Saccharomyces cerevisiae S288C: one gene and its partner. Changing the gene in region 1 together with any one later gene gives a genetic interaction. Each region holds a gene or a part of one and is shown on either strand. Other genes may lie near its edges. The genes, in order: HBN1 and YHB1.

Evidence for each region.
Region 2: of HBN1 (region 1) and YHB1, changing one enhances a phenotype caused by changing the other (phenotypic enhancement), as found in Saccharomyces cerevisiae (one study listed by BioGRID).

The regions. Positions count from the first base shown.
Region 1 is NC_001135.5:72,883-75,840, reverse strand, and holds HBN1 (putative nitroreductase), read left to right. Parts: upstream 1-1,854; coding exon 1,855-2,436; downstream 2,437-2,958. Other genes in the region: FRM2 (type II nitroreductase), read left to right, coding at 556-1,137; FUS1 (Fus1p), read right to left, coding at 2,500-2,958.
Region 2 is NC_001139.9:957,742-961,603, reverse strand, and holds YHB1 (flavohemoglobin), read right to left. Parts: upstream 1,701-3,862; coding exon 501-1,700; downstream 1-500. Other genes in the region: MIC26 (Mic26p), read left to right, coding at 1-244; PHO81 (Pho81p), read left to right, coding at 3,394-3,862. UniProt on the Saccharomyces cerevisiae protein: Is involved in NO detoxification in an aerobic process, termed nitric oxide dioxygenase (NOD) reaction that utilizes O(2) and NAD(P)H to convert NO to nitrate, which protects the fungus from various noxious nitrogen compounds.

The DNA of each region.
Region 1 (2,958 bases):
ATAATATGAAGTGAGAGAAAAATGATTTCCTTTTGTTCTTAATGCAACAGAAGAGGTTTGATTTCATCCGCATATGCAATTTTGCCTTAGTAGGGGTGCAACCGTTTTCGTCGTGCATCAGGAACGATCTTCTTGCCTTTTTTAAAAATCTACGTTAAGAATTTTTAATTTTGTTAAGGTGTAATTAGCATTAGAATGACTGAAGCATTCAGTTTAACCAACTTGTTCTGCGATATTTTTACTTCTGAAATAACAATGTCTGCGAGTGTTACTTGATTATTAATCAATATTTGTCAATGCTCTTCCGAATAATTTTTCAATTTGTCAGCTTTGCTCTGCGCTTTTCCTTACTGCGACAATAAATGGCAAAGGAAAAAAAAATACAGTGTCATTTGCAGATATGACACACTTTAACACCTGAGTGGGTCATCACTACTTTGTGTTTGTCTCCACCCATGTTGTGATCGAAGAGAGATATAAAGGTTGATCATTTTTGGTTTTTTAAAGCTATATACACCATCAAAATCAAGAACACCAGACCTCCAAGCCAAAGAAATGTCCCCAACTGGAAACTACTTAAACGCTATTACAAACCGTCGTACCATCTACAATTTGAAGCCCGAATTACCACAAGGTGTCGGTTTGGATGATGTAAAGAGAACTGTACACGTTATTCTCAAGAATACGCCAACAGCTTTTAACTCACAAGTGAATCGCGCTGTCATTATCGTTGGTGATACACACAAAAGGATATGGGATGCTGTTGCGAGCGCAATGCCAACTGCTGAAGCCAAGAAGAGACCAGAGTCTTGCAGAGATGAGGCTTACGGTTCAGTCATTTTCTTCACTGATGAAGGACCAACTGAAAAACTGCAAAGAGATTTTCCAGCCTTGGCAGCCGCTTTCCCAACATGCGCCGCTCATACGACCGGTGCTGTGCAAATTCAGTCTTGGACTGCCCTCGAACTATTGGGATTGGGGGCTAATTTGCAACACTATAATGACTACGTCAAATCTGCTTTGCCTCAAGATGTTCCTATTGCGTGGACTGTACAATCTCAATTGGTCTTTGGTGTTCCAACTGCCTTGCCAGAAGAAAAGACTTTTATCAATAACGTAATCAACGTTTATCACTGAACAGGAAATTCGCATATGAGGAGATCTTAATTTATCTCATGAAGTAATGATACCTCAGCGATGTGCTCGCTCGTTAGTATGCTTCATAAATTCATTATTATTTTTTTTTGGAAGTGTTTTTCGACAAAAGTTGCATTTTTACGAAGGATATGTAAACTCAAGAAGTACTAAATAAATATAAATACAATTCGAAAATTTGAAAAAAGTAGGAGACAACACTTTCCTTCCTCACGAAGAAGTTAAGCTTGGGTTTGTGACTTACTAACGTCAACGTACAATCGCGTTACAAACAAGATGCTTGCATTCTTACCTTACATTACAAGGACTTAGACGAAGAAAAAGTTCAGAAACACTGCTTACACTATTCACCAGACCCGCTCCTTCTCCTAACATCAATAACGAACAGCACTATTGATGTAAGAACGTCTTAGCTTAGTAATAAAGCTCTACCTTGTTATCGTACAATAATCCAGTATACCGCTTTTACTAATGATTATTCGAGAAAAATCGGACTGTGGCGTTTTACGTGAAAATTACGTAAAGAAAAAGATCCTGGGGTGCCTCGAGCTTTTCGGGCTAGGGTCTTGGCATTTGCACCTTGTCCAAACTACAGTATATAAGGACACCATACTGAAGGAACTGACTACATAATTTGTACTTTTTTCGTAGACTGAAGTATCCTATATCAACATATATACAAAAAAACAATCCAATATCATGTCTGCTGTTGCAACTTATTTGAAAACTTTAACTGCTCGTCGTACTATTTACGCTTTGAAACCGGAGTTACCTGGTGAAATTACTATCAACGACATCCAATCCGTCGTCCAAACCATCATTAAAGAAACACCCACCGCTTTCAACTCCCAGCCAAATCGCGCTGTTATCTTGACTGGTGAAACTCACAAAAAAGTTTGGGACGAAGTGACTAAGGCTATAGAAAGCCCTGCCGGTCAAAAGAGGCCTGCTTCAGCAAGGGATGAGGCCTTTGGTTCTGTAATCTTCTTCACCGACGACAAGGTAACTGAAAAGCTAAAGGCTGACTTCCCAGCGTACGCAGCTGCATTCCCTAGTTTCGCGGACCATACCTCTGGTGCCGCTCAAATCAACTCGTGGGTTGCCTTGGAGGCAATGGGCCTGGGTGGTCACCTACAACACTACAATGGTTACATAAAAGCTGCTTTGCCAAGCAAAATCCCTGAGTCTTGGACCGTACAAGCTCAATTAGTCTTCGGTACCCCAGCCGCACCTCCAGGTGAAAAGACCTACATCAAAAACGATGTTGAAATCTTCAATTAAGGAACAGTATATAAGTACAGAATTATAGGTATAGATTAAATGCGAACGTCAATATTATTTTCATCAGTCGTATTCTTGGAGACAGTCACCAGGCACAATGCCTCTATCTTCATTGAGGTATCTTTTATCGTCAACACTGACGTGAATAGAACCCTTTTGTGTATTACACTTTTCTACCAGACACCATCCATCGGTATGAGTGGCCAGAATTTTAACTTTTTCACCCAGCGAGATTCTTATTTCGTCTGTCAATCTAGGCTCGTAATCCTGAATAACTGTATATGTCTTCCCTAATTGGACGCTAGCCTCCCCATTATATTTGGAGTTTGGAGTAAGCGGCAATGGTTTAGAACGTGACAAATGTTGTAAATGCTGATACATTTTACTTTGTCTTCTTTTTTTCCTTTTCTTTAGTGGTTTTGATGGGGTGGGTATTATCAACTCGTGTTTCTCAGTGCTTTTATTGCAGTCATGATGATCATTGAAGTTGGTTTCCAAAGTTTGTTGTGCAGTAGTACCGTA
Region 2 (3,862 bases), on another chromosome or scaffold:
GGGGTCTTGTTGTTTTGCGTATGCAATGCCAACAACCTTCAGGAACACCATGGGTCTCATCCATAATCTAGAAATGAACACCTTTCCACACTTTACCGAAAGACAAGATCGTGTTTGGAAAGAAACAAAGAGATTAAGTACCGCGTCTGTGCAATACTACTATGATGCCAAAAAATGGTTGAACAAAGATGTAGAAAAAACAGGGAATGCAATCAAAAATTGGACTGGCGTTAACGTGAAGTGAACTCTGTTTAGCACCTGGCGCTTATTCATCTTATAAATACATACACAATCTTTACTTACTATCTAAATATTCCACATAGGATTTCACAAGGATTTCACGAGGATTTCTAACACAGTATAACAACAAAAGATTAGCAATGGTCTCATGTTTTAAAAATTTTTCTTATTTCGTAATATAACTTCTCAAACTGTGAAATCGAACAAGTGAAATTATCAAATGAATCAGTAATAAAATTGAAGTTTCCGAGGCTTAACGCCTAAACTTGCACGGTTGACATCTTTGGACCAAATGGTTCATAGTGAATCATATCATCACGATGCTCTAGTTCTTTTAGATGACCAATCATAGCTTGCATAAAAGCTAAAGAGCCGCAAGTGTAGACATCGGCATGCGCAGGTGACTTTTCCTTCAAGAATGCAGCATTAATCAGTGGTTCAGTATCAGTATGAACAATTATTTTGTCGACATTCGCACATTCAGCTAATAGTTCATCTACATGTTTTTTGAATGCTTGAGTCTTTTCATCATAGGAAGATTGAATCCAGTAAATTGGCCTATTTGGGTTGCATTTGACTTGTTCTTCTAACATAGCTAAAAGTGGTGTAACACCAACACCAGACGATAGTAACACCAATGGAACTTCGTTTTGGTGTATCAACTCTTTATTTATTGCGAAATCACCAGCCGGAGCACTAAGCTTAATTTCATCACCAACTTTAGCGTCCTTGTGTAAATATTCAGAGACTAATCCTGCAGGAAAATTTTCTCTGGCAGCTTCCATCTTTACTGCAAATCGTAAACCATTTTTAGTTGAAGCAGAACAAAGAGAGTAGTGTCTTAAAGCGTCGTATTGGTTTTCCTGTCTAATTGGGTGAGTGTTTACCGTAATATACTGACCTGGAGTGATTGGCAAGCTTTCCAATTCAATACCAGAACCGAACTTTGGCTTAACAGTAAATTCAACAATATCTGAAGCAACGTACTCTTTGGCAGTAATGTCAAATGGTTTCCAACCTGGCCATAAAGCTTCTTCGTACATTTTTTTTTCAACAGTGATGAAGATGTCAGCAATTGCTTGGTAAGCCTCGCCCCATGCATTAATTATCTCTGGAGTCGCAGCATCGCCTAAAACTTCCTTGATTGCTTTTAACAAGTACTCACCAACGATTGGATAATGCTCAGGTTTAATTTGCAAGGCACGATGCTTGTGGCCAATTTGCTTGACATGGTCCATAAGCACAGACAAATCGTCAATGTTCTTAGCCGCTGCCAAAACAGTAGTGGCCAAGGCATTTGGTTGTGCGCCAACCTTTTGATTAGTTCTGTTAAAAATATTAAGTAATTCGGTGTGTTCAGTAAGCATATTTTTGTAGAATGTACGCGTGATGACAGTGCCCTGCTGTTCCAAAACAGGAACGGTTGCTTTGATTATGGAACGGGTTTTTTCGGCTAGCATAATGAATAAAGTCTTTGTGTGGTTTGTTGAAAATGGTAAAAAATGAACAAGAATATACTGTATAAGAAAAATCAAGTCTCCACCTCAACCCACAATATTGTTATATATATATATATATATATATTTCCGTGTGTGTACAACATATTTCATCAGTAGTCTTGTACTTGACCACACACGGAACTGAAATGAAACTTTAACGGCAACAATTCAATAATAGTTGCTCTTAGATCTCCGTACAAGGAATGGTTAATTTCCGTATTTTCAGGTGGCATCAATACCATAATGTGTGAGTGCCAGCAAAAGATAGTTTTACAGGCGGTTCCTGCATTGCTTTCTGAGAGGGATGATCTGAAAACTATCCGTCGAAGACGCATAAGCGCGTCCGCTATTTTAGTAACGATTAGTAATCGAGCATTTAAAATTGACATTATTGGATAAAAAGAATACGTTATATCGGCCGGAGGATCCAACTTTAGTAGAAATAGAAAGATTTGCCGCGCAGACTATCATTTTCAGTTTAAATCCTCCACAGTATCAGAGTAGGCATCAAGGATGCCTTCCTTTGCTGGTACTCTGGGAAAATGTACCAGTTGGCAACGCAGGCGAACCAATAAACGAAGATTTCGGTCATTTGTTTTGCCGTCTGACCTTCTCAATTAGATTATGTCTTGGCAATTATACGAAGCTTGTGATTTTAAAAATGAGCCATGAGCTTGTTCGGAGAAGAGTCGCCTAAGGTACAGTGTGCACAGTTTTGCTTTTCAACGATGAATGCTTGAGCGTGGCGAAGAAAACCTTGCGGGCTTTTCGAAAATGTAAGGAATAAAAATGAAGTTTCCTGATTTATAAGCAAGCAATCACTGAACGAGAATATCTTGTAGTTAAGTGACTATCAAACGAGCATGAGGGTTACAAAGAACTTCCGTTTCAAAAATGAATATAATCGTACGTTTACCTTGTGGCAGCACTAGCTAACGCTACGTGAATGAACGTACCGTGCCCTATTATTCTTGCTTGTGCTATCTCAAGAATTGCATTTTGTAATAACAACTGCATGGGAAAAATTATATAGATTTTCTACTATTATGTCCGCCTAAGTCAGTTAACCATCTTTATCACAAAATATACAATTAACCAACTACTTAATCAATTCGGTTATATTGCTTAGTATATACGTCTTTGGCACGCGATTGAAACGCGCTAATTGCATCAGCCTATCTTTCTATGCAAGAATGCAAGAAAAATTGATGTGATGTGCCTTATCACAATTCATTACCTCCTATTTCCTCTGCAGCAACAAGTTTCCTTGATTATAAAGGTCTTTAGCGTGAGAGGTACAGGTGTTATGGCACGTGCGAATAAGGGCAGAAATTAATCAAATTTATCAACTATTTGGCGATGGCTCGAGACAGGTATAGAACCACTACTAGGTGATATTGAGGCTTTTGTACAATTTATAGCAAGTTTTTGAGAGTCCCTTCAAGTTTGTTACATAATCTTCTTTGTGCAACGTACAAGAGCAAAGTAGAAAAATTTGGTTTTTATTTTTTTAAGCAACATCAGCTGCACTAGTTGAGCTTTTGACAAGACATACTGCTCAAAAAATCTTCATAACATTATTTTTCGGTTCCACAGTGATTGAGCTTTTTGAGAGAATAACCCTTTGGAGGCAACATAGATAGATAAACGTGCAATGAAATTCGGCAAGTATTTGGAAGCCAGGCAGTTGGAACTGGCGGAGTACAACAGCCATTTTATTGATTATAAGGCTCTAAAGAAACTTATCAAACAATTGGCCATTCCCACGCTAAAGGCTAGTTCAGATTTAGATTTGCATTTAACATTAGATGACATCGACGAAAAAATTATACATCAGAGACTGCAAGAAAATAAAGCTGCCTTTTTTTTTAAACTAGAGAGGGAGCTGGAAAAAGTAAATGGTTATTATTTGGCGAGAGAGTCCGATTTAAGAATAAAATTCAATATATTACACTCAAAATATAAAGATTATAAGATAAATGGTAAGCTAAACTCAAACCAAGCTACCTCATTTAAAAACTTATATGCGGCTTTCAAAAAGTTTCAAAAGGATCTTAGAAATTTGGAGCAGTATGTTGAGTTAAATAAAACGGGATTTTCAAAAGCTCTGAAGAAATGGGACA